Linked DNA regions of Oryzias latipes. The protein of the gene in region 3 purifies or fractionates together with the protein of the main gene of each other region. This does not show direct contact. Links are inferred from orthologs where the notes say so. Each region holds a gene or a part of one and is shown on either strand. Other genes may lie near its edges.

Region 1 (4,018 bases), on a different chromosome or scaffold from region 3:
TTAGTGGCCGTTCACGTTAAATAACATTTCTACTAAATAATGGTAAATGCCGTATACTTATTTAGTGCTTTACAAGCTTTTTAGAAGGCCCAAAGCGCTTTACAGTCACAGTCCCATTCACCCATGCACACACACTGGCGCCAACCTTCCACCAGAGGTAAGGTGGGGTTCAGTGTCTTACCCAAGGACACCTTCCTGCAATCTTTTGATCAGAGGTCGACCCCCTTCCACTGTACCAAGGCAGCCCGTAATAATGACATGTTAATTTTGACATAAAACTAAACAAGTCTATTTTTAGGTTGATGTTGCCTTTATTTATACGTTTGGTTGGTAAAGGATATTCATGGTTAAAGCAGCAGAAAATGCTTTTTCAGATGACCTGCAAACATGTATGAATGGCACAAACGAATTACAAATATGACTCTGCAGCTATATTGTTACGCAATATCAATACATATTAGAAAACATGTTATTTTTAGGTCTCATCAACTTTACTCACTTGAGTTCTAAGTTAATTGGAATTAAACATAAATCAGTACTTTTTGGAGAAATCAATATAATTTTTTGTATCAAATTACCTATACTTGTAAGTTGAGGTGTAACAATTAATCAACATAACTGATTAATTGATTTCTACTTCTACGATCCAACCAGATTGATCTGTCTGAGACAGGTTGTCAACCAATCGACCTACAACAGTATAAAATCGTTTCAAAATGAGACAAATTAATTATAATCATTATCGGAATTTAGCATTTGCATCACAGCAGACAAAACACACGTGATGTAAGCAAAAAATGATCAGTCTATTATTCCAGTCCAATATGTGGAAACACTTTGAATTTAGCAAAGACATGCGACCATACAGTGTGCTAGAATGTTCTAAAAATGTTCCCTTTGGATTATTTTGATGTGGAGAAACAACAGTGGACTGAACTTTAGGAAATTAAGAGGTGAATGGATTTTACATTAATTCTTGTTTACTTGTTTGGTTGTACACACATTTAATTTACACTAGATTATCTTACAAGAAATACAAGGAATCTGGAAAACTTCACCTGCACTGTTCAGTACCAGGTATTTCTGAGTCACACTGGAGGAACTTTTGGCTAAAGATGTCCTGGATCCATTTTAGGTCAGTAAATCGTTTCAGATCAAATGAACCAATACAGACTATGAATTGTACTGGCAACCAGAAATTAGGATATGAATCGAATCATTACACCCAGATTCATGAGTATAATCTCATCCAGTTCACTTCCATGTTCAATAACAGGTTTTTGAAATTTCAGTTGATCATTCAGTACCAACATCTCGTATATACAGCTCGTTGTGAATAAAACTGATCTTGTTTTAATTAGTCACATCCTTGATATGCTGCAGTTGACGCTGATGTCATTGTCCCACATTGGACGTGTGTGATGACCTATGCTTATTGTGCTGTAATTACTTAAGCATGGGAACCGCGGTGCAAACGTGGGACTTTTCCCTTCACGGGATTTCTCCAGCCGAATGTTTGTGGACAAAACACGCGAGATTCCCCACACAGAATAAATCACTTTTGCTTTTTAGTAAACAGTGTTTTACAGCAGTCAGTTTTCTGAGCCAATTCTTCCACGCTCCACGGCTGCAAACACAGTCAGTCAGGCAGCATCTTGCGTGACTTCACAACACGCGATAGGCCTGTCAGACAGCTAATGCTAGCGGAATGTCAACCAACCAGTAGCTCGCTCAACACTAGCGCACTTTCAGACGACTCCCTGGTTCCGTTATTTTCAGTCCCCGGCGGCAATTAGAGAAAGCATGAACAAATAGAGATGGGCAATGTAGCTACTCGGAGAGCAAAAGCAGCATTAGCTTACAGTCCACGTCTAACATGGCCGACAGGAAATGGGAGCACAGAACATTCCAGCGGAGCCGGCTCGGTTTCCTAACTGGACTCGAAACCGATACACTACAGGAGGTTGAAGTTTGGAGGAAGACTAAGTTAGTCTCTACAGACACAGGGTGGCACAAATAAAGCTTTTATTAGAGGCGTTAGCTAAAATAAAATCGGAAAGCAAAGCCGGCGCACAAGGTCAATCCCTGATATGTCAAACCAACTGTCACGCAACGTCAGCTTTAAAAAAGCGTGAGTTTCTCGTGTGACAGAGGCCTAGCGTGGCTCTCCTCGAGCGAGCCACCGAACTGCCACGGCGGTTCTGAAAATATTCAACCGTGCAACCAACAATCAGCAGGATAAAGCTTCAATTGTGGGAACTTAGCGAGGGCTCGTGCGCTCGTTGACATTAGCCAACTGAAGCTAGCAACAAGCTGACTTTTCGGGACGGCCTAACCTGTTTTCTTCGCCTGCGTTTCCTGATGCTGGCACTGGATGTGGCTCTGATCATGTTTCAGACGAAGTGTGTGTTGAGTATAGTTTCTGTCCTCTCCGTGGTGATGGTTTTGCCTGTCTTGTGCCCGATCTTTGGGCTGTTCCTCCATTGAAGTGAAGAATGTCGGACTGGTTGAGGCGGTGTTAGCTCCCTCTTAGTGCCGAACAGTCCAATCACTACCAGAGTGAAACGGAAGCTATTTGAAGCCCGTGTAAACGTCAGCAGCAAATGTCTAAAAATGGCTCTGTTTTGGGTGGTCACCGCCACTTAAATCCACGTCCAGACCCTCTGTTGGCCATTGCAGATCATATTCAAGCGCCTTTGTCGATCAAATCTGCATTTTACTCTAGAATTAGAAGTTAGGAGAACAATAACCCCCCCTGTCAGGGTAGGAAATAACGGGGTGGGGTTCGTGCATGAGCCAAAAATCATATGACCCGAGGCGCTGCCACGTCTCCAGCCAGTGGACAACCTTTGATGGAGGGTCAGCCTTTAAATAAATGCTTTTTGTTTGTTTTAAGTCTTCTAACTGCTGTTTAATATACATACATACGATCAGATACATAAAATATTGGACTGTTTCAAATTTGTAGAATTGACAGTTGTTAAATCAAGAACTTAGTTCAAAGGGGTTTCGCCTCAATTAAACTCAATTCTCCTTTTCATTGTAATCATAAGATTTAAAACACGGGATTGCAGTTATAAATATCTAGAAACAATAATAGGATAGTTTCTTCATTTATGCTTTAAAAAATGAAAGAAAAAGTGTAATAAAAAATACTCGTAAATTTGTTAAGTTTTAGAGTTAATTGAAGCGCCTCACTTTTCAAAAAGTGGGAGAAGTCTGGAATCTTTGAACAGCTCACGCGTTTAGATAATCGTTGAAACAATGCCATCTAGTGGCCACGAGTGGAAGTCCTCAGATTATAATCTCTATTATGAAATTGGCTATAAATAAATATTTCAGATCAAAGCTTTGTCTATTTTTTAAGTTTGAGATTAAAATACATTACAAAAAATACAGCTTTAACATTACATAATTTATAAGCCACCATTAAGACAATTAATCATACAAAATATGTTTTAAATAGCTAATATTCACAAATGATGAAAGTTAAGAATCAAGCAACCTTTATTCACTTCTTCCCTTCTGTTCAGTTAAAGCACTCTCTTGATTCCAACACACTTTTACTGCTGATGTATGCAGTCCTGGCCCCCTTCCACTTGACAGCTACTTTTATATGAAATATTCATATCACTGCTTCATTTAACAGCAAGATTTATTTTTAAAAATGGAAGGTTTCCAGAGAACAGTACTCTCCAGGCACTTGGTTAAACATATCCTGGACACTATTTTTAAAATAAATATGTTGGCAGGTTTATGGCAACTTTTGCCACTTTTTTTCTTTTTTTAAATCAAATGATCCCTCAGATGATTTTTTATGGAGGAAAAGCAAAGACCTGTGCAATAATGGGATAAGAAAATTAATATTTGTTTAATAAAAGTTATTCACTCTAATTTACATTTGTATATCATTTCATCAAGAAAGAGTTGACCATATAGTTAATGTCTTATTTCTGACAAAAGTATTTGGTTTTCTTTTAGACACAATATGAGCACCCTTTCTGACAACTTGACAGAA
Region 2 (4,263 bases), on a different chromosome or scaffold from region 3:
ACTTTACCCTCAACATTTTTAAAAGCTAGAAAACTGGGAGCAGAAGAAAACGGTCAGAACTTGTGTCACGCTTTGCAAACATACAACTCTGCACACAAGAACCAAACACTCAACAATTTTATGGAGACAAAATAAGGAGTAAAACACTTTTGAGTTCAAATGTTTCACTGAGCTCCAGTAAATCTGCCGAAGTGATAGCAGCTTATGGAATTTCTGCAGCTTTGACTTAATGCAACATTTGATCACTCAGGAAATGACATCGAAAATAATACAAACTCGAGGGTTTAATAAAGAAAAAATTGATGAGTCAGTGACAAAGATCCTCCGCAGAGCTGCATATTTACAGCACGTCCTCTCATGACTGAGCTGTACGGCTCCCTGCTCCCTCTGATGTCAGGACTCCTGCTCATTTGATGGGCTTGGCCTCGGCCGGGTTCTCCCCAGTGTCCAGGGTCTTCAGAAGGCGGAAGAGGCCGGCCGCTTCACGGATGCGGCTGAACTCTATGCAGAAGGCCTGCACCTCGATGAACAGGTCCTGGACGTTGATGATCTTGTTTCGGATCAGCGACTGCAGGAAGACGCACACCAGCCGGACCAGGCGGTTCTGCAAGAATCAAGCGGGTTTTTATTCCAGAGGAAAACTCTTGAGCTCTCTTCAGCAGTTCACAGTTCCAAGAACGCGTGTTGACCTGCATGTATTTGTCTTTGATCTGCTCACACGTGGAGATGCAGTTGGAGATGTAGAGGTGGATGAATTCTGGAGGCAGATCCACAGCTGTGGTTAACCTGACGGAGGAGAGCAAACAACTCCATCACTTCCAAACTACAGAAACAGCACCAAACTGGAACCCAACTGGAGATTCGTTAACAGGTCTGAATACAGCCAAAGCCCCGCCCCCACCTGTTTACCACCTCCATGGAGTGCAGCGACATGTCCATGTTGACGAGCACTGAGAAATACTCTGTGATCTGGCTGCTCTGCATCAGTTTTAGCAGCATCTCGATGGCCACCAGTGGGTTGTTCTCCACCAGCTCAGGCAGCTTCACAGGCGTCAGGCCGATGTGATACACCAGCTTTGGGTCTTTCTCCAACTCAGCCAGCAGCTGCACACACGGCGAGGTCAATACAGAGGAGTGACAGCGGTGCACAGCAGTAGGAGTCAACGCCTCCACAAGAAATAATTTGTCTTTTAGGGAACGGACGATAAAGTTTTTGAGTGAAGGGAAAAATAAAGGTTGATTTTTTTTAAGACCACCAGAAAACTAATCCAGGAAGACAAAGGTTAAAAAAGAAACAAATACTTTTCCCACAAATTGTGTTTTTGTTTTGATAAATCTTGATTTAAAAATGAAAAAAGAGCAGATCTGAAGTTAAGTTTTTGTTTCTTTGCAAAGAACAGGAGTTCCTATTTTAAATAAAGTTTTTATTTTAACCCTGACTTTGCCTTTGTGTAAACCAAACATGTTGTTGATCAGCATCAGACCTACCTGGGACTGCTGCTGAGCCGACAGCGGACTCTTGAAGGCCTTGGCCATGATGCGTTTGATCTCCACGCCGGTGCTGTTCTTCACACACATTGACCGATCCCACTGGATGCAGTGGTCCGGCTCGGTGGGGTTCAGCCACGCCAGCTCATCTTCGCATGTGTGGAGCGGAGGCGTCGGCCGGATGAACTCGGGTCGAAAATGACCTGGGAGGGTTTTGAGAAACTGGTACTTACCATGCCTCATAGCAACACCTTCAGACAGACGGCCTTTGAACAAAGTCTAAATACTTTAATATAAAACTACTGAAAAATGACATAACTTCAGCAAAAACCTTCTAGACAGTCACTCAAACACTTTTTTTTTTAAAGTATCAGTTAAAGATCAATCGCACTCAACAGATCAGGTCGGCGCCGATCAACCTGTAACCGTGAGTTTTTGCTGAGGAGACGGCTACCATCTTTTCTGAGGAGATTCCTTCTTTCTTCCACAGATGTGATCACAGCTTGTGTGAAAAAAAGCACTTACTCTCCAGAGGAGGACGCAGCCCTGTGACCAGAGACTCAATGATCTGATTGGCCACAGAGCTGTCGAAGCCTGAGTTGGAGGAGTCTGGATCGGGGTCGTTGAGGATGCTGGGGAAGCTGGCTTTGCTCTGGGTGGGCAGCTCTGACTGGCGCTCTGCAAAAAGAGGGCTGGGATTGACGGCGTCTTCACCTGTGATGAGATGTTTCCTTACAACCTTCACTGACCTGCTAAAGGAAGCTGCAGCCCGCTGATGTCTATAGATGGGGGCATGTTGCTCACGTCCATGCAGGACACCTGTCTGGGGGTCTTTTTGAAGAGGTCTCTGGGCGGAGCCAGCATCAGCTGGGACAGGAAGAACTTCTCCGGCTGCGTGATGGGAGGAAGGAAGCCTGGACCCAACGAAACAGAGACTGAGCGGCTGCGGTTCTGATGAGACGTCGGGCTAAAGGTGAAAGGAAGCGGCCCTACCGGACAGGGCTTTCTCCTGCTCATCCCCGGAAGGTGCTGGGTTTAGCAGGTGCGCGAACACGGCGGCGAACGGGTTCGCGGCCAACGGCTCGGTTCGGTACATCTCCCAGAGCAGATAGAGGGCTGTGAGCCGCTGCGGAGAGCTGGGCAGCAGGTCCGGCTGCTGCAGCAGCATGACCAGAACCGAACCCACCTTGAAGTGGTCCGCCTTCCCAAAGTAATGATGGAAATGAGTGGAGAGGGTCTCGAAGCTGTTGTTGCAGGCCTCATCCGAGATTATGCTCAGCAGGTTGGACAGTTCCTTTGGAGCCAGAGTCATCGTTTCCCCGCCACAGTTCGATCGGATGCAGAGATTGACCGGGGTCCCTGATAAGTCTTTCTGTATAACTATAGCGGCGCTCTTACCCGCTTATTCATCTTTGAAGACGCAGAGTGGAGGACGGTGGCCCAGAAGTCATCTCGATTGAGATCCTATAACGCGGTTAGCATCAAGTTAGCCTAGCTTAAAAATAAGCTACAAAACCGGGAAACTCGTCAAAACATCAATCATCTTTTTAAAAATAATTATCCAAATAGATTAAATGAACGTATAACTTATCAATCGAACCAAAGAGTTACAAAAGATAATATTTCCAGGACTGAGAAAGAAATAAGACCCTGAATGGGATAGTGCTGCGAGCCATTAGCTTGAAGTATTTTTTAGTCGTATTTTCCGGTGAACTGCATCTTGGGTGATGTAGTTTTCTTCAGTTTCTCTCCAGTCCAGCAGGTGGAAATGGTATATGAATTATTCCTACCAAATAATCGTTCACATTTGTTTTATTTAAATAGATAGATAGAGAGGGAGAGGGAGAGAGAGAGAGTTAAGAGAAGGTAGAGATAGCAGTACTCTGCCTTTTAGGCTCAGGTAAGAGACCTAAATTAAAACCCATAAGTTAAAACGTTTTACTAGGGACTGAAATTTGAAGAACTTCTCTTATGTTCGTTTTAGGTGATGGTAATCCCTAGGTATGTTACACAGTGTTGGAGTACAATGTCTGTCACCATAGACGATCTCTGTCTGATTATGTTATTACGTAAGCATGCGCCAATTTTTTTTACGTGCAGTTGAAAATAAAAAGGAAGGCGCAGCCTCTCATCATAGTCAAGACGAAGTGAGTGGGGAGCTGCACTTCAGGTTCAGAATGAAATGTCTCCTGTGTCCATTATTTAAGAGTTAAGAAGCAAACACGGTTGTGTGTAACAGGGATGTCTTTAACGGCTTTGGCGTCGGGAGAGAGTTCCCGAGCGGCAAGAGAGACAACTGCTGCTGCTGGAGAGCCAACACACAGTTTCCATAATTTTTGGTGATAGTAATCCCTAGGTGTGTTACATGTATGTGATGGGAATTTTACATATGGATCGTGTTTTGTCAAATTTGATAGGTAGTTCTTCACATTTTTGATGTTAAGATGAAGTGCAGGGCCATTAGAAAAATCTTTTACTAGATTTAGGGCTCGGGGAATTTGACTGCCATCTTTAAAAAAAAAATGTTAATATTAATATCATCTGTATCTAGACGATCAAAAACAAGCCAGTATATGGCTAATATGTGACTGCCGGGAGATACTTTTGTTGCTCCATGTAAAACTTGATCTTGTTTGGATTCTTCTCTCCAAGGATCTTTTAAATGAAAACTTTGTATAAATTAAAGTAGTTCAGCATTAGGATTATTAGTTTGTAGTGGCCATCTATCCAGTCGACAATCTAACACCATATTCAGGTCTCCTCCAATTATAATTA
Region 3 (3,500 bases):
GATCCCATAATTTACTACAGCATCCATCTATACATCAGGTTGTAAAAATAATTATATTTCAATGTAACCGTTTTTTAGGTTTAAAAGCCAATATTTGTTTTAATGAAATCATTCTGCCGACATATTTGTTTTGTTAAGACTTCCAGATTTGATGGACAGCCACAAGAAGAACAACTATTTTTAAAGGGAGCTTTTGGCAACAGCTGACAAACTTTATCATTTGTGAAACATATTTAGTGGAAGCAGTGTGTTGATTCTCCAAAAGTCAACTTAACACATTGCCAATTGTTTTGCCCAAGATGCTGGTATTCAAGGAAAAGAAATTACTTAAAAAAAATGACTATTTAAACATGAATAGCGTTCGACCTTTTAGATCAAAAATCCAGATCCATCCATCTGACAGCGTTTCAATATTCTTTTGCAGTGTGCAGTCACTCAAACACTGACCTGTTGAGGGTCAGCTCCCTTCTTGCTGTGGTTCTGGATAAAGTCAACTAGCCCGTGTACCACTGTTTTCACTGCTACAAGCCCTTTCTCTAGCTGCTCCCACGTAGGAGGAGGAGCATCTAAAAAAAATTAAAATAAATCAGAATCAATCAGTTAGAAACCACTCAAAGTCTGCATTATGTCATGTAATTCCTTGAACTGGCATGCTCTTGCTTCACTGTGTAACACAAATTTATAAAAAAAAATAGTTTTCTAACCCGGGCTGGGGTCGATGTTTGCCAGCAGTTCCAAGTGGGGCCGCAGCCTGTTCAGGTTGGCTGGGTCTCCGGTCCTCTGCAGTGCAATTGTCAACTCCTGGACACTTTGGGCAAAAGATGCTGGGGTCTGCAGCTAAATGAGAACCAATTAAGTACAGAAAATGCAAAACAAAAAAAACTACAAGTGTAGCAAAACAGGCATATCTATGATGTATTTTGAAATAAACTGAATGCAAAATCAAACTGTTGTGTACCTTATCTATTATAGACTGCATGTGAGACTTGTGAGATTGATCTCCATATAACAGAGAAGACCACTGGTCAGGTGCTATGCGTAATCCACCTTCCATGGCAATCTGTACGATCTGAGAGTCGTGCTCACGTCTTAGAGCCTCGTAAGTACGAAACTCTTCTTTCAGCTGCATCAAAGATGAATCTTCATCACGTTTGGTGACCTAAAGGGCCAAAACAGACAACTCTGTTCAACGCTTAAAGAAATTATTTAATGACATGATTACTGAAACATTTATCTCAACACCAAGACAGAATGATTTTATTTGTCCAATATTTAAAAAAAAGAGACATTCGTTTAGTTGACGGATGGAGACGTACCTTAAAGCAGGAAGCCCTGTAAAGGAGCTGTACCACGTGGCCTATGCTAGTTTTAGAGGCCTGAGGGAAGCGAGGCTCCAGCCTCTGGACCACAAACAGAACCAACACTTTCCTGGACAAAGCAGAACCGTCTTCTAAAGCAAGGAGGACCAACTTAAGAGCTTCCTCTTGCATTGCTATGGGAGGAGAAATCCACAATAAAGATGTTACATGGCGAAAGACTTAAGGAAAAAAAAAAATCTTTAAAAAAATTATTAATTACATGCACAGTCGCATTCCCGGTTAAACTTCAGAAATTTTTAAAAAAATTACCTGGACCTAAGAACTGACATCCCCGAGCACGAACAGCTGCCCAAAGGTTGGAAGAGAGTTGCTGTGGATTCTGGTGCTGCAAGATGAGTTCAGTGACAGTTCGTTCACCCAGGGAGCGGGCAGCTCTCATGGCTCTGACGCGGCCCTCTTCCTCCACCAGCTGGCAGTGGACTAGAGTTACCAATTTCCTCTGCATGGGTCGACTCAGAATGCTTTGGGCTGTACTGCTCAGACCCACACCTGCAGACGCATCACAGGCTAGGTTAATCAAAAAATAACCAATAAGAAAACAGCTCAGCACAGAAATATCCCTCTACATTTAGGTCGATGCAAACATAAACGAGTGGAGCACCTAGAGTATAACCACAATGAGAGAACAAAAAAGTCAATAGAACATGAACCCAAGACTTGTAGTGGAAACGTTCTTGTTATGAGCCATTAGTATTAACATTGACATCACAATGCTTAAAGTAAAAATCTAGTTTCCAAAGTACAAAACTCCTTGAATTCCTTTTTGTGGACGAATCAACTAATTAAAAAATGCATTGAGCTCTTTCTAGACACTTAGTTTAGTCTAGATTTTTCACAGAGTAACTAAATATTATAAAAATAAAGTAATGAAACTGCACCATAAATTTTATAATAATGGCAAAAGTTAAATGAAAAAATACATTAGATCAATGATTTCTGACAAAATACACCAATGAGCAAAATGCTGCAGTTTATAAGTGTTGTATTTGGTCAAAGCACATTAAATTAAAAAAAATAAAAAACTGACTATGCAAGGAGAGCTACTTAAATACAGAAAGTGGAAAATGTCATCAAATGAAAGCAGCAAAATCAATTTGTTCTTCCTTGTAAAAAAAATAGATTTCATGTGTAAACAATATTGGACCAATAAAAGTGAATTTGGTCTTGAAAATATTTTGGATGTTTGACAATATTCAGATAATCATCAACAACCTTTTTTTATAACCATCTGATGTATCATATAAGTATTTTACAGATTTGTTTAGGAAAACTTTACAGACGCCACATGTCCTTTGTTTACGCAAAAACACTATTATTGTTTGGAAAATCATATTTATTTTAAAAAAAGCTATTAATTAAAGCTTCAAATCTACATTTATTATGCACCACATTAGAATGCTAAGGATAATTCTGCATTCCTTTTTTCCTCGGGATATTGAACTTTTGCATTGCATTTTGAAACTGCTTTTCTATTTTTGTAAACAAGTAGTACAATTGAAAACAATACTGTACATATAATGGCAGTTTCCATGAATGTGTCTGAACTTTTGTGAAGGTTATAAAAGAAAATGAGAGCAAAAGTTGTGCGTAAAGAACTAATAAGGATAGAAGGAGAAAGTTGTTGAAAGTATTAAAGTACCTCGGCTGTTACTGAGGGGTTTGAGATAAAGGGCCAGTTCCTCTACACACTGCCTGGCCACCTCATAATTCTGTGAGTCTTCTGGACTGGTAATCAAGGCAACTGGCTGAGCCTTTGGAATCTACAAGAGAAAAACAACAACCAAAATTTAGTGCAGGCTACACAAAATACATATAGGACAACTTTTTATTAAGCTTGTATGAATGAATGGGTCAAATCAACAGATACGTTTTTAAAAATCTAATTTAAAGGCTATATCCATTTTACTTGTGAACATCTCTAACTGAAAAGAGTTGTTTGTGAACCAACAACAACAAACATGATTTCAATTTCTCGCACTAGTTTGTAGCAGGCATGTCATTCTGCAATTTCACTTTCATTTGGACAAGAATTAGGATAAACTGGTTTCACCCAAAGCATTTTAGTACCGTCAGCAGAGTCTACAAACTCGCATAACTACTTTATTTTGGTGCTACATTCTA
Region 4 (2,951 bases), on a different chromosome or scaffold from region 3:
ATGAGTATTTTTGCTGTAGATTAAGATATTTCCCTGAACCAAAGCTTCAGTGGGTGAGGTGCAGAGGTACAACGGCCAACCTCTTTTCAGGTGTAAAGTTTGGTTCCCGGACTGCCTGACCATGTTCCGAAGAGTCCATGGCGAAAACATCACAAGTACCATCCTTACTGCGAAGGAGGGTCTGGGCACGGATGCCCAGTTTAGTTTAGCCATTACCTATTCAATTCTATGACTTTATGCTCTGATTCATGTTTATTACAAAGTTACCGGTATGAAGCCCACTGAGATGACTATTGTTGTAAATATTGGGCTATTTAAATAAAATTGAAGTAGAAGATACTGAACGCCAGTTACAGGCCGTTGCTGCACATCAGTTTTTATTTTGAATCTAGGGGGGTGAGAGTTGTGTGTGTGTGTGTGTGTGGGGGGGGGGGTCCCGTTCAGATGGTCATGGTAAATGTGTTCAACCAGCAGAATCAGAGAGACGATGATGCAGAAACTGGCTTTGATTTAAGACAGTTAAATTTATTGACACTGTTCAGAAAAAAACATTTATAAGTCAACAGAAATAAAAGTGCTGCTCTCCGAGAGTCACAGAGGGTAGAGTTATAGAAGCAGCTGCTTGGGTCTGTGGGGGGGGGGCTCCCAAAAGCTCATTTCCGCTGAACCTGTGTGAAGGATGATGGCAGCTGGAGGGGCTGGAAGGACTGCAGGGATGACGTAGCTTTCCTGTGGGATTCTGGAGAGGTCCTGTGGACGGCCATGGGCAGAAGCTGGTTCCGTTTGATGATCTGCAGGGCCAGCTGGGTGTTTCCTAAAAACACACAAGCGTGGGGATTGAGGAAAAGCAGGCTGAACATTAGGATGACTAGACACAGAACAGACAGCATCAACGTCTTTTGAGAGGAGGGGAAGCACGGCAGCTGTGAGGTTGTGGATCTCCACAGATCACCTCCTCCATCCAGTAGATCAGCGGTTAGACAAAGAACCTCCAGGATGTAGGAGTGTGGCCCACAACTGACCGTTCTGAAGCTCCAGGTACACGCCCAGCAGGATGGCTTCAGGGGGGATCTCCTTCCCGTTTGTGATGGACACAGCCTGAGGATGACCAAACCAGCCGTTACACAACAGACTGAAGTTGGATTTCTAAGTCAGGAGCAGACGAAAAACATGCAGTTGGCAAAATACTCTGGCAGGAGCCTCAAAAGTCGCCGGCCGGCATGCCTGTGAATGTGTCACGGTCCGTTTTTTGTGTGCTTGTCATGATCTCACCAGTCTGTTTTGTTCTTCCTACTTGCTTTATCCACTAACATTACAGAGTGTTAGTGGATAAAGTACAGTTGGATGTAGGTTTATTGACCAGTTTGAACGGTTTGTTTTTGTCTGTGGCGATGCAGAAAACGAGTCACAGTTTGTGAAGCTGCAGAGGCAGACGGGGACCGCCAATAAAGTACCCAAAACACCCCACACAAACAATAGCAGTAACTCACCATAAATGATCTCTAAAACATCACAAGTACTCATTATTGTTAAAGGGCCTATACCATGCTAGTCTTAAGCCTGTTATAGTAAACAATATCCATGTATGATCATTTATCACCTCTGGCACACCAAAGTATGATTTTCTTTTTATTTTCGCAGCTGATTTCCAACCCGGAAGTAAGAGGACTCGATCTCTGAGGCTCCGCCTTTTGCTCCTTTAATTCATGGTGGTGTTTTGGTGCCAAAATTCATAGGAAATTGCCAAGCAGCGCCCCCTAGTGTAATATGTAATACATTTTCCCTTTCAAACTGCAATCTTGCAGAAACAGCAGCGTATCTCTTAGAGTTCTTCATAGTCTTAGCGAGCAGCTTTGGCGATGGCGGTGCTTTCAGGTGTGTGTGGACCAAGGCACTGACCTGGTTCAGACAATTGCGGGCCTTGTCGTACTCGCTCCTTAAGCAGTAGGCGCTGCCCAGGTTGAAGAGCATGATGGAGCGAGCCGCCGCCACGCTGCCGGGGTAACATAGAGGCGTCTTCTTCCCTGCTGCGTTTGCAGGACGTCACAGTGATGAAAATGACAAGTGTTCCAACTTACAGTGGGTTGAAGGTGCAAACACTCACAAGGCTCCACTGGCTCTTCTCCCCTCTCTGGACCTGCTGACCAGACAGAATAAGAACGCAGGAAGCAGAAGTGCAGCTTCTATTGTAAAGAGCAAGCCCACTGACCCTGATCCGGATCGCTGCTCACAACACCCACCGACACGTCGCTCACATTCTCTGGGTTAAGGTGGCTGATGGCGTCTGAGATTCGGTCCAGTGAGATGAGGGCTTCAGCGGCATAGATGTGACCCAGAAACCTGCAGAGAGGAGAAGCCGTGACGCGACGGACTGCTGTTTTTTCCCTGCCCCTCTGTACCTGGAAGGCCTTTTCCCAGAAGGTTGGTCCTCTCTTAAGGCCGTGTCACACAGCCACTTTGTATATTTTGTGCAAGTTTCGGTTTATGAAATTGTGGTCTTTTGTGATTCATGCGTGATGTACATAATTCATAAGTGCTTCTTGCGTTCGTTACTCATCAATGTTCGTGGAGGCGTCTGTCCTTTTCTTGGCCTGCTGGTCTGTTGATGCAGATTTCTACCATTCAGATTCTGACTGCATGCACAGAACAATCTTTTTCATCCTATGAGTTTCCTCCTCTTACTGAAATGAGGTTTAAAATAAAATGCTTGAGATGCTGTAGATCAGGAGTGGGATAACTTTGAGACTCGTGGGCCACAAAGGGTTCAATAGAAGAACCAGACCAGGAGCCAGTTTTGGTAATCTACCTTATAAAAGAGAGAAATAACATGGAATCTGGAGGAAAACATTTGGACTAAAAATTTATATTTATTTCAAAACTGTGACTTTTATTCTCAGTTTAGAGCCAATTGCACCAACGACTTGATGTACCTCATGTAAAACGCAAAGATG
Region 5 (3,500 bases), on a different chromosome or scaffold from region 3:
TCAGAGGTCGTGGACGCGGACGGGGAAGAGGCCGGGGCCGAGGAAGAGGAGGAGGCAGAGGTAATCCTTTTCCTCATCCTCTCTGCTGATCAGACTCAAACATGACGCTGCGGCGCCAGCCTCTCCTCTCCAACAGCTGACACAAGCGACGTGACTAACACTTACATGTGTTTACGGGGCTTTGCCCTGCTCTTTGACTCGCAGGTTCTGCAGTCAGTCTGACCTGTAAAGCCAAAGTCAGTCAGTCAGTGAGCGAGGCGTCCACGTCTGTTCAAATGCTTTCAATGTTTTAAATGGCAACATGCCCTGAAGGGGTTAAACCCCAAACATGATTAGTTCAGATGGAGATGCTCCTGATGCTCCTTTGGGAAAGTTGGTGGTGGTTGGATGGATGCACCAAGCGGCTCCTGGAGCTTCCTGACCTGGAGGCTTGATGCAGAAATGATGAGCTTCCATGTCTCTTCTCTGATTGAACATCTTGTGGAGAAAAACCCGCACAGCTCTGATCTGCGGCTCACCGCTCTGACATTTAGTCTGGACCTAAAGTCAGGCTTAAAGCTTCTGGTAAAACAGCCATTCTCTGTAGTTTATTTATAGTTCTGTGACATCTGGAAGCCCAGAAGAGAAACAGAAAGTATGACTGGCTGCTAAAAATGACTCATGGTTGTTTTTCGTCCAGAACAGCTGAGCAGGAAAAACCTTCATTCCAAAGCTGCTTCTTTTCACGTTCTTTAAAAAAAAAAAAAGAAACTTTTTTGTTCTCCTCACTTTTTTGCGCTTCTTCCTTAAGCGGCCTGTTTCCACAGGAGCGTCTCACTTTTGTCCAGACTCTGTGGTTCTTTGTTTGGATTATTTTTTGTTGACATGGAAGTGAAAGCCGGCTGAACAGGTGACGACAAAAATACTCAGCAGCAACGATTTTCCCTTTTAGACGTGTTTATTTCTGATTTTCAATAGAAAAACGCTTCGTATTTTAGCTTCAGGCTGATCAACTTTGTTGCCAAACTGTCAGATTTGACTGTTAAGTTAGAACCTTTTTCTCTTTATGGCCTTTAAAGTTCTAAAACTACAGCTGAACAGTTTTTACACCCAGATTTTTAAAACAAAAACATTTTGTTTTTATTCTGTTCAGTTTCAATTGTTTATTTGCTACTAAATACATTTAATTTCCATTAGGATATTTCCTATAAATGTGGTTTTTTTCTGCTTTTTAATGTTTTATTGCTTGTTTTTGTTGTTGATAAACCAGAGGATCAATTCTTTTTTTTTTTTTTTTTTCAAAATTGTTTTTATTGGATTTTAGAGCAGCAATATTAAACACGTGATAACAATGATTACACTTTTTTTTCCTCCCCCCATTGAAACCTAGAACAAAAGGAAAAAAAAAAAAAACTCCAAACAGAAAGGCGATACACATCCCATCACTACGCCTAATATACACCAAAAACATATAATAATAGTAATGAATCATTAAAATTAAGAAAATAAAATGGCAGCACAACATATTTGATATATCAAAAGAAACTCTAGGATCAATTCTTTAAAACGAAATATTTTATGTTCACATAAAAAACGTCAGAATTCAGCTTTTAAAAGACAAAAATTGTCCCTATCTAAATGTTTATTGTATATTTTATTTTTGTGTCATAAAAAAGAGTTAAAACCCTAAACCTGATGCCCTTTTTACATTTATAATCTGGATTCGAGAACATCTGATGTGCAGAGAAACTAACATTTTTTCCTGTTAACGTGGTTCTCCGTTCTGGAAGGTCACTACGACTACCACTGCACCTACAAGTCCTACGACGGGAAGGACGGCTCCTACAGCCAGAAGTTTGGCAACTCCGTCACGTACTACTACGACAACATGAGCAGCGCTGAGCTGTACTCTGTGGACCAGGACCTGCTGAAGGACTACATCAAGAGACAGATGTGAGTCCAGCTCGCTGGGAAGAGGCGTATACGGACGAGGAGGAGGAGGAGGAGGAGCTGCAGAAGTGATGAGCTCTTCATGTCTCTTCTCTGATGAATCATGAGCAGAGAATTTTGACTCTGATCTGAGCTGTGAAGCAGGTTTTGTCCTGAAGCAGAAGCTCAAAGTGAACCTGCTTCTTGTCTATATTTAAACCTTGAACAATGTGGTTTCTGTTTCCACAAATACCAGCTTCCCTCCTGGGAACTTGGTTCCTCTCCTTCTCCACCACGGACGCCACGGCATCAGTTGAAGCATTTGTTTGTGTCGTTTTGTTGGTGACTTGAGTGGATCTGGTCTTTCCTCTGCAGAGAGTACTACTTCAGCTTGGAGAACCTGGAGCGGGACTTCTTCTTGAGGAGGAAGATGGATCAGGAGGGCTTCCTGCCCATCAGCCTCATCGCCAGCTTTCACCGAGTGCAGGCCCTCACCACAGACGTCAGCGTCATCCTGGAGGTGAGCAGGAGCGGACGAGTCCACCTCTGCCGTCGCTATGGAGACGCATGCTCAGCTAGGACGGGAAAGCCTTCTGCGGGCTGGTTGTGGCAGGTTTTTGGAGCTCAGGTGTTCAGTTTGTCATCTGCTTTTTGCAGTCTGCATTGAAGGAGCCTGACGTTAGTGGATTTTGATGATTTGACTGATGCAAAACGGCGACTGAAACGAGCAAGATTGAGAAATATTGGTGTAAAACCCCAAAAAAGCTTTGTTTTTTATGAAACATTTTTTTTCAAATAGTTTATATTATAATAAAGAATGAAGAAAAAAAAAAGGTTCAGAACCATCAGATTCTCCTCCGTGTTGGTTTGGACTCCGCCCAATGATTGCATCAGTACGTCACAGGCCAAAGCTGAGTCCCTGATTGGTTGACGGTGCGTCTTCTATGCTAAAGTTCAGATATTTGACCTTGCACCTGTGATCGTGTCTGAAGGTTGAGCTTGAAACTGGCCGCCCCTAAAGCACGACCGTGGTTCATATTTGACCTCTTTAGTGTTACGTCCCTTTTCTTTCTTCTAGATGTTTTAGTGATTTTCAGCTTTGTGGTTTTTCATCACAGTTGCATCCGGGATTGTATTGATGCTTTAGAGTTTCCACGGAAACACAAATGTGCTGGTTAACCAGCTTATTGAATGCAGGGAAGCTTCAGACTTGGAGGTTTCTGCAGAAATTATGAGTTTTTCATGTCTCTTCTCTGATTCAGCATCTGTGGGGAGAACTTTTAGACCTCTGATCTGCAGACTCTGCTTCTCCAGGGACAACAGAAGCTCTTTCTGGCGAGTCTTTACTTACCATTGCTGTGTCTGTCATCAGGCTCTCAAGGACAGTAAGGAGGTGGAGGTGATCGACCTGAAGATCCGCAGGAAGGAGGACCCAGAGAAGTGGCCTCTGCCCGGCCTGAGTTTACCCAACAACACGCACACAGACTTCTCCCAGCTCATCAACTGTCCCGAGTTCATCCCGAGGCAGATGACTGGGGATCCGAGAGGTCGGTCCATTCCCGCCTTCCTGCACCTGCTCCACCAGAGCCTCA
Region 6 (4,131 bases), on a different chromosome or scaffold from region 3:
GATGTCATCAGCAGCTCTGCAAAGAACAGCGTCTCGATGCCTTCTTCCTCGTGCTTCTTGAACTGAATTCCTGAAGTGGTCAGGAGCTCGATGGAGTCCTGCGCGTACATGTCCTCTCTGGTTAAAACAATAAATACATAAATGAAATAAATAAATAAAACACATCTCTGTTTCTAAGCTTCACGCTTTCATTCCAAAAAAACAACAAACAAAACGCCACAGAATAACCATTAAAAAACTTAAACTTTGTAGGTTTGCTCAGCAAAGAGGGAAACCTTCAAAAAAAAACTTAAGGCAGGAATAGATCGACTAGGATCTGACTGGATGCTGGAAAAAGTGCAAATTCTTCCATTTGGGAACGATGGACAGAATAACGCTTGACTTTGAAAAGCATCGTTGAACCCACGGGGGACCAATCGTGTGAGAAGGGATGAAAGCGCCGCTCTTATTCTGAAAGACAAATGCTTCTCCTGTAAGCCCCGCCTCCTCCGTCCCAGAACATCCACCATGGATTTCTCCAAGAATCTTTAGATGTTTTACATGATTCACAAAACAAACATAACTTAAAATTTTTTTTAAAAAGCCACCCAAGCTTACGTAAAAAAAGTAAAAAAAAACCCCATCTGTTTAACAATAAAAAACAATTAAAAAAACACCTGTGCTTCCTATTTAGAGCATGCATTATTGCTATTTTTTTCATTAATTACTTGTATTTTTCAGGCAGCTTTGATCTGTTTTTTTTTTTTTAAATATAAAAACTCCTATTTTCATTCAGGATGCTTTCTCTTCGATTAATTTAAATCCCCTTTGTGCGCCTACCCCCTCTGATAAAAAAAATGTAAGTTGTGTTTTTGGAGGGCTTAACATGTGGTGGTGGTTTTTTTTTTTGATGATACATAAAGAAAATTAACCTTCGTCTTCCTCGTCTGAGCTGGCTCGCCCTTTTTGTTGCACCGGTCAATATCAGGTCAGGCGGTATGAGGGGGCTGTAAGCTACCGGGAGATTGTGTAAACAGAGAGCTCTCAGCAACAAGGAAGGAGAATAAAGGGTAGAAACTGCAGAAACTATATCCAGGAAAATGACAACTTTTTTTTGTGTGTGGCTAAAATACGGAATAACCATAATTTAAATCTGATTGGGAATGCTTTTAAAATAGATCAAAGGCATATAGGACTTTAATGTGTTTTGAATTGAATTGTTTTTACAGATTGTGAAGTCGTTCATGGGAATCCAAGCGGACGAGTCTGTTTAGACATAGTGAGAGACTCACGTGAGGCTAAACTTAAAGTTGAACTGCCACGTTGACGTCCCGGGGGGGTACTCTCCCTGCTCGTTCATGAAGGTCAGGCCCAGCTGGATGATCTTCAGCAGGTCCACGTTGCAGCGCAGCAACTGGTACTGATAGTCGGCATTGCTCCGGAACTCTCCGATGGGTCGGGCTACAACTCCTGGAAACTCTGTGTCCTGAAAGAGGCAAGAACGAGGGACCGTGGACACCAGTGACAGTGGGTGGGTGGGAGGATGGATAGATGGATGGATGGATGGATGGGTGGGTGGGTGGGTGGGTGGATGGATGGATGGATCGATGGTTGGGTAGGTGGATGGATGGATGGGTGGGTGGATGGATGGATGGATGGGTGGGTGGATGGATGGGTGGGTGGATGGGTGGGTGGGTGGGTGGATGGATGGATGGGTGGGTGGATGGGTGGATGGGTGGGTGGATGGATGGATGGGTGGATCGATGGTTGGGTAGGTGGATGGATGGATGGATGGATGGATGGGTGGGTGGGTAGATGGATGGATGGATGGATGGATGGGTGGATGGGTGGGTGGGTGGATGGATGGGTGGGTGGATGGGTGGATGGGTGGGTGGATAGGTGGATGGATGGATAGGTGGATGGATGGATGGATAGGTGGATGGATAGGTGGATGGATGGGTGGGTGGATGGGTGGGTGGATAGGTGGGTAGGTGGATGGATGGATGGGTGGATGGATGGATGGATGGGTGGATGGATGGATAGGTGGGTGGATGGATAGGTGGATGGATGGGTGGGGTCTCTGAGCATCTCTCACCATTGCGATGTAGTTGTACTTTCGGATGACGTGCCGGATTCTCTTGAGCTCCTCTTCCAGGTTACTGGCCCAGACCTCACATATTCTTTGGCTGTGGTCTACAGTGGCTGCGGGCATAGTGCCACTTCACCACGCGTGGAGATGGGGGGCGGGGGATGATGAGAGCATCATGAAAACACAGACAAAGCAGCCGAAACCACATGAAAAGAGCCGCTTAGTTAGTAGTAGAAGTCATGTGTGTTTTAGCCGCCTGCTAGCTCGTAATTTAAAGCAGCACTGTTGCTAGCTTGTTACCTGTTAACAGTTAGCGGGTTGGAGGTAAAACTTCCGAACAAGAGGAGTGGCGACTGTGCGGTTTTCTCACACAAAACATTAGTTTCGATCAACTACACAGGAGTGGTTGTACAACAGGACAGGCACGAGTAAGTAGCAGCAGTGCGCGCGCGCGCACACACGCCGGGGCGTCACTTCTTTTCTTTTTTTTTTTTTTGGGAGACTGCAAAGGTTTTGTTTCGTTGACTCACCGTTCCCCGAAACGGGCGCGCGCGTGTTTGAGCGTGTGCTATCTGAAAGCTGGCCGTGTGTTCTGTGATATCTGTCAGCAGGGAGGGGAGGGGGGTGTTCCGCCAACTTTGAAATACTTTTATATTCAGTGGGGCTTGATGTCAACCTACGGCTGCCATCACAGCGGACCCCACACAGTGACGTCATTACGTAAAGTGAAACGTCAGGACGTAAGGACGTTTCAGGATCCTCATCCGTAAAATGTGAAAAAAGGTTTTCCAATAAATGTTTGTAAAGAGGAATATATAAATTTTAAAAAGTACAAATAAACGTTATATATTTCTTATTAATTACTAATTTATTCAAGGTGAACAGGCTCTCGTTGAAAGTGTATATATAATTATTTTCAAAGGATATATTATTTTTAAAAATTATACTGTACAGATTTTTTTTATTTTTTCACAAAATATATTTTCTTTTCAATTTATATTAAAGTAAAATAAACTTTTTTTTGCCCCTAAAGTTATATTATTTTGGTAAATTACTGAAAAAGTTTTACACAAATAAAAATGTTAGCCATGAAACCAAAAAGGCCACATTTTAAATTCAAGTAAAACATGATGCAGAGATAAATTCGTTTTTCAAATCACTTGTTTTAATAAAAAAGTACAATTTTCACAGACGCATCATAATCCAACGTTCGCATTTTTGTTGATTTTGATCATTTTATGACCACTCTAAGATGAAAAAAAAGAATGCATATGATTGACATCTTTAAGGGAAACATTTTCAACAAATATGGACTAGAGGACATTTAGGGTGAAAAAGATTTTACCTTTAACTTTTATTGTTGAACACAAACCCTCAATAACCAATATGTTGTGTAAATGCCCTTATAATTTTTCATACCTTATGTAATTTTTGTAATGTTTAATTTTTTTCTATGTTATCTGTATTTCATTCTTTTTCTTTTTCTTTGACCTTTAACCCCTCATCCCGTAAGTTAGTAATTCATAACATTTCATTTTCTCCAGCACTTCATTCACAAAGGAAGTTTTTTCAACATTGAGAATAAATTCGGGCATGAAGTATTTTACACAGCTGCAAAAATGATGACACCAGTGGTTCTTTTTGTGATGCCAAACCTGAAACTATGACCCACATTTTCTTGATTTGTACACATCCTCAGGTAGGATGTGTACTTTTTAAAACAAAATAATTTATTTATAAACATATTGTTGCTTCACTTCCTCATCTTCTATTTATTTGCAACACAAAGACAAAATGGGACAATCTCCCACTATGTAATTTTTTCTAAAATAAAAAAAATCAGTGGCTAATATAAGATTACAAAAAAATCGTTTTTAGTAAATATTATTGCATTTAGGCTGCACGGTGGCGCAGTGGTTAGCGCTCTTGCCTCACAGCAAGAAGGCCCCCGGTTCAAGTCCCGGCTGGGGGACGTGAAAAACAGAACATCAATGGGGGACCTTTCTGTGTGGAGTTTGCATGTTCTCCCCGTGTATGCGTGGGTTTTCTCCGGGGTCTCCGGC
Region 7 (4,074 bases), on a different chromosome or scaffold from region 3:
TACTCCGAACCAGAAGGACAGAACCATTTTTGAAATGGCTACTCGTGTGGAAACTATTAAAGCAGACGATAGCCGGGGAAGCCAGAGCAGCGTTTTTATTCTGTACAGAAGATGTCAAGTGAAAACATCCAGCTGTGCCGGTCCACCTCCAGGTCACACAACCTCTTAGGAGTTGGCATTGGGCCCCTTCTTCTTTCCAAAAGTGGGAACTACGTTGACGAAACGCCGGTTGTACTGAATGCGGCGCTTGGCGCGGCCGGTCTTCTTCTTCTTTTTCTCCTGCTTGTCCACCTGGACAACACAAGAACTGAGGGTTAGGAACGAGAGCATCAAGCGCCTCACAACATCAGCTCCAAAACGATACAAAACCCCAGGTTGAATTATATTTGGCTTAAAAAGCTCTCACCTTAGGAGTCTGTCCTCTCACTTTTCCAGCACGAGCCAGAGAGCCGTGCACTTTACCTGTTCGGAGGACAAAAGGTGGTCTTTGATTATTGAACTCTCTTGTTTATCTGAGAATTGTGCACAAAGCCACACAGAATGAGAAAATGAAGGTTTCATCTTTCTTCTGACCTCCCAGCAGCCTGCCGGCCACCTCCAGGGTGCAGAATTCTGAGACGCCACACGACACGAGGGAGGCATCATCCTCCAAAGGACAGCCAGTGAGCATCAGCACCTGATCCTCCACCAGGATTCCCTCCAGAGTTTGGACATGAGCCTGAAAGAAAACCAAGTCATGGTTTCAAGATTCCTCCACCGGAGGCGTCGTTTTGGTAAATTCAGGTGCTGAGTTACCTTGATCTGGCCAACCGTCTCCTCTCCGGTCACCTCGAGGGTGTGAGTGTTCTGGGCGCGCAGGAAGAGCTGCATCTTCACGCTGAGAAGACAAACAACAACATTAAGAAGCTGGTATAAACAGATAGTGTGGAATCGTGGGCAGTTTGACGACTGAGCATTTCATTCAAGCCAGTATTATTAAACAACAGCTTCTATAAGGAACTGAGAATGAATGGGACAGAGGACAAACGTTCTAAAGTGCTGAACCATTCTGCAGAACTCCTCCAGGTATCTCCATGCCAAAGCGGAGAACATGAAAACCTTTACAGGAGCACATTTCTCATCCAGTCAGGCAAACGTTGGTGGATCCCTAGAGCAGTAGTCCCCAACTCCCTGGACCGGTGCTTATCTTGTTAACTGGCCACTACTAATCTTATTCTGGATTACATTTTATTGAATTAATATGGTGTATTGTCAGCACCACATCTATCTATAACTCTTGACGTAGTAGCTCGCCTTGGTCACGCGTCTTGAATATCTGTGCCGTCTTCCTGAAGCATCTGCTCCGCCACTTAAAAACCAACGGCAACCAACTAATGTGTTGAGGACAACATAATAGATATGAAAGATGATTTAGACTCAAATTAAGAGTAAAAACAGTGTTCTATGAAAAAAATGTAGTTAGGCCTTTAATAAATTTTAATCAAATCAATAATAACTCAACTTCTATATAAAAGCTACATTTTAAAATCTTTTTACACTTGATGTTGGACTATTATAACTTTTTAAAAAAGATGTTTATATAGTGGTCGATGAAAATGTTGCTTTATCTTGGCCTGAATAAGAAGCTTACCCAGAGAAAAGAACTGCATTATTTACCCTGGTATATTTATTTACATTAGCATAAAAAACAACAACAGCCTTGTTAAAACTCTAGTGGGACTTGTGCAAAAAATAACAGATTTAAGAGACATTTCTCAATTTGTCAAACCTGTTACTGATCTAAGGTTTAAGAAATTAGGATTATTTGTTTCCCACTTTTAAATAAATGTGGATTTGCAACCAAAGAGGCTGACACTTTCTCTACTAAATATAAGATTTGGAGATCAGTTTAACAACAAAAGTTCTTTAATATTGAATAAATCACATTACATTTTTGCTTTGTTTTTATGAATATCATTATTTTGTAGGTTTGATGTCAGATTTGTATGTTTAAACGTACTTACCTTTTTAGTTTTTAACCAGACAACAGAACATTCTGTCATAGAAAAAACTTTAGCAATAAAATAAATTGTTGAGCTTCTCAAAGGTCGTTATTTTATCCCCTTTAATCGTTCATTCATATAAAAACCAACCTATTTTGCCTTAGTAATAAAACTTGTATTTTTCAGCACACTTGGATCGTGTTTTTTCATTAACTTCATGAATTTGCTATGATCAACTTTTACAGCCAACATCAATTTAATCAGACAAAAAGGGATATTTTTATTATTTTAAGCCTTAATTTTTAGTCACAACGTGTTGGCGTTAACTAGCGTTCACGTGCAAACTTTCGAATTGGTTTAGGTTTTCTGGTAGGTAAACATAAACGAACTAAATTGTCTTTAAAAGTAAAATATCTAATTTCTACGTTGGTACTAACCCAGTTCTGTATGCAAAAGTAAAAATTTTATCCTAGTAGAAGATGATCAGAAACGCAGTTTGGAACTTAACCTATCTCTTCCGGCTAACTCTACTAGCAATGCTAGCCACATGGAAATGCGCTTCACAAAATTCCCTAAAAACATCAAAATTATCCCTCGTGTCACAATATACGCGTCCGCAGATGGTTATTAAACGTTTTAAGAGTACAACAAATGTGTTAAAATACGTGCTGAATTGTTTGTATGCATAGTTTTGACTCAAAAAACAAAAGGCCTAACCTCGTTTGATGCTCGTTGATCGGCGATCAGCGGAAAAAGGGCTGTCTTAAGGGTACGCATGCGCATGTGCACGATTACGTAGGCAATTGCGTATGTAGCCATTTTTTCTTTAAACTTTATTTAAAAAATTAAAAACAAAGCGAGTTGGAGAAAAGCGGGGGAGGCAAAGAAAATCTTTTTGACACGCTGACAAAAGGAACGGTAAATGTGTTGGTAAAAGTTTTGAGGTTGAAAATACAGAGGATTAAGATAAGAGAAAGGCTTATACATGGGAAGGACATCATTTATGTGAGGTCAGGAAGGAATACGAACCATAAAAAACTAGGTATGATTGACAAAACTTTATTGAAAAATTGCAAGGACACCGCTAATGTGAGTTAATACTTTCACTGTCAGGCCTTTTATAATTGTCCAAAGATAACATTTAAATAATTTATAAAGGTGTTTGACTAAGAATAGATTCATGTAATTGTAATGGTTTTAAAACTGTAGTTTGCTTGTACAACGTCGAATCTTTGTATTTATCCAATATTGGAAACAAAATATTTGGACCAAAATAATAGCACCAGATTTAAGAAAACTGTCCAAAAAATAAATAAATCCAACATGACACTTGAAGATAGTAATCTCTTTATTATGAAATAACTTTTTTTTAAAAAAAGAAAGAAAATCTTCATTGTCTGAGAAACCAACATATTAAAATTGTACCAATGTGGAAGAAACCATGACTCAAACATCAATGAAAGCCTCATTTGCAGGTTTGAATCTAAAACAGACAAAAACTAACCAGTAGGATTTAAAAAAAAAAAAAAAAAAAGCTAAACACTGAAATATTAACCTCCCTTCAAACACCAGTCATTTCCTCAAAAAGGTTTTTGGAAAATATAAGCATCGCTAAAGGAATACAGCAGTCTTCACTTGAGCTGAATCGGTCCTAAACCCCCCCAGAACGCTTTTGACTTCTGGGTTTAACTACTAAACAGAAGTGGGAGAATAAGAAATGAAAATCATGCTGTGCAGAGTTTGGGATTCAACGCAAAGGGTTCCTGATAACCAGCAAACTGATTTGAGGAGGTCTGGGTCTTCACGCCAGCCGTGTCGATCATGTAGGAGGAGGGGGGTAGTACTGGTTGTACTGGTTGTACTGGCCGTACTGTCCCCAGGAGTTCTGTCCCCAGGCCCCATAATGCTGCAGAGGACAAAGAGAGTAGAGTTTAACCCTGAAGATGAGCATCAGCATCTGTACGGCAACACAGAGGTGACAGCCCACCTGGTACCAGTTGTAGTTGTAGGCAGAGTTGTTCGCCTGCATGTCGGTCATTGAATTTGCTGCGACTGCAGAGCCATCGTCGGCACGCTGCCTTTTGGCATCTGG

Evidence for each region.
Region 1: the proteins of roquin-1 (region 3) and nufip2 purify together in Homo sapiens (affinity purification with mass spectrometry; 3 studies listed by BioGRID, with this or other methods). This does not show direct contact. The link is inferred for Oryzias latipes from reciprocal best matches to the Homo sapiens genes RC3H1 and NUFIP2.
Region 2: the proteins of roquin-1 (region 3) and cnot11 purify together in Homo sapiens (affinity purification with mass spectrometry, with the first as the bait; 4 studies listed by BioGRID). This does not show direct contact. The link is inferred for Oryzias latipes from reciprocal best matches to the Homo sapiens genes RC3H1 and CNOT11.
Region 4: the proteins of roquin-1 (region 3) and cnot10 purify together in Homo sapiens (affinity purification with mass spectrometry, with the first as the bait; 3 studies listed by BioGRID). This does not show direct contact. The link is inferred for Oryzias latipes from reciprocal best matches to the Homo sapiens genes RC3H1 and CNOT10.
Region 5: the proteins of roquin-1 (region 3) and larp1 purify together in Homo sapiens (affinity purification with mass spectrometry, with the first as the bait; 3 studies listed by BioGRID). This does not show direct contact. The link is inferred for Oryzias latipes from reciprocal best matches to the Homo sapiens genes RC3H1 and LARP1.
Region 6: the proteins of roquin-1 (region 3) and CCR4-NOT transcription complex subunit 7 purify together in Homo sapiens (affinity purification with mass spectrometry; 5 studies listed by BioGRID, with this or other methods). This does not show direct contact. The link is inferred for Oryzias latipes from reciprocal best matches to the Homo sapiens genes RC3H1 and CNOT7.
Region 7: the proteins of roquin-1 (region 3) and fau purify together in Homo sapiens (affinity purification with mass spectrometry; 3 studies listed by BioGRID, with this or other methods). This does not show direct contact. The link is inferred for Oryzias latipes from reciprocal best matches to the Homo sapiens genes RC3H1 and FAU.

The regions. Positions count from the first base shown.
Region 1 is NC_019872.2:16,918,423-16,922,440, reverse strand, and holds the start of nufip2 (nuclear fragile X mental retardation-interacting protein 2), read right to left. Parts: upstream 2,801-4,018; 5' UTR 2,485-2,800; coding exon 2,337-2,484; intron 1-2,336. UniProt on the Homo sapiens protein: Binds RNA.
Region 2 is NC_019879.2:14,490,649-14,494,911, reverse strand, and holds cnot11 (CCR4-NOT transcription complex subunit 11), read right to left. Parts: upstream 2,801-4,263; coding exon 2,482-2,800; intron 2,403-2,481; coding exon 2,238-2,402; intron 2,167-2,237; coding exon 2,014-2,166; intron 1,692-2,013; coding exon 1,489-1,691; intron 1,105-1,488; coding exon 902-1,104; intron 787-901; coding exon 690-786; intron 605-689; coding exon 407-604; 3' UTR 100-406; downstream 1-99. UniProt on the Homo sapiens protein: Component of the CCR4-NOT complex which is one of the major cellular mRNA deadenylases and is linked to various cellular processes including bulk mRNA degradation, miRNA-mediated repression, translational repression during translational initiation and general transcription regulation.
Region 3 is NC_019875.2:24,168,794-24,172,293, forward strand, and holds part of roquin-1, read right to left. Parts: intron 3,140-3,500; coding exon 3,019-3,139; intron 1,869-3,018; coding exon 1,629-1,868; intron 1,493-1,628; coding exon 1,317-1,492; intron 1,160-1,316; coding exon 959-1,159; intron 838-958; coding exon 705-837; intron 567-704; coding exon 448-566; intron 1-447. UniProt on the Homo sapiens protein: Post-transcriptional repressor of mRNAs containing a conserved stem loop motif, called constitutive decay element (CDE), which is often located in the 3'-UTR, as in HMGXB3, ICOS, IER3, NFKBID, NFKBIZ, PPP1R10, TNF, TNFRSF4 and in many more mRNAs.
Region 4 is NC_019874.2:7,757,059-7,760,009, reverse strand, and holds the end of cnot10 (CCR4-NOT transcription complex subunit 10), read right to left. Parts: intron 2,341-2,951; coding exon 2,210-2,340; intron 2,138-2,209; coding exon 2,105-2,137; intron 2,028-2,104; coding exon 1,900-2,027; intron 1,099-1,899; coding exon 1,023-1,098; intron 815-1,022; coding exon 654-814; 3' UTR 501-653; downstream 1-500. UniProt on the Homo sapiens protein: Component of the CCR4-NOT complex which is one of the major cellular mRNA deadenylases and is linked to various cellular processes including bulk mRNA degradation, miRNA-mediated repression, translational repression during translational initiation and general transcription regulation.
Region 5 is NC_019872.2:3,469,417-3,472,916, forward strand, and holds part of larp1 (la-related protein 1), read left to right. Parts: coding exon 1-60; intron 61-1,769; coding exon 1,770-1,932; intron 1,933-2,283; coding exon 2,284-2,428; intron 2,429-3,280; coding exon 3,281-3,455; intron 3,456-3,500. UniProt on the Homo sapiens protein: RNA-binding protein that regulates the translation of specific target mRNA species downstream of the mTORC1 complex, in function of growth signals and nutrient availability.
Region 6 is NC_019868.2:26,784,432-26,788,562, forward strand, and holds the start of CCR4-NOT transcription complex subunit 7, read right to left. Parts: upstream 2,801-4,131; 5' UTR 2,599-2,800; exon of another isoform or gene 2,369-2,598; intron 2,199-2,368; 5' UTR 2,192-2,198; coding exon 2,075-2,191; intron 1,466-2,074; coding exon 1,272-1,465; intron 118-1,271; coding exon 1-117. UniProt on the Homo sapiens protein: Has 3'-5' poly(A) exoribonuclease activity for synthetic poly(A) RNA substrate. Its function seems to be partially redundant with that of CNOT8.
Region 7 is NC_019882.2:10,168,123-10,172,196, forward strand, and holds fau (40S ribosomal protein S30), read right to left. Parts: upstream 2,801-4,074; 5' UTR 2,700-2,800; intron 878-2,699; 5' UTR 871-877; coding exon 796-870; intron 719-795; coding exon 574-718; intron 463-573; coding exon 407-462; intron 292-406; coding exon 166-291; 3' UTR 72-165; downstream 1-71. Other genes in the region: prpf39 (pre-mRNA-processing factor 39), read right to left, coding at 3,802-3,888, 3,970-4,074.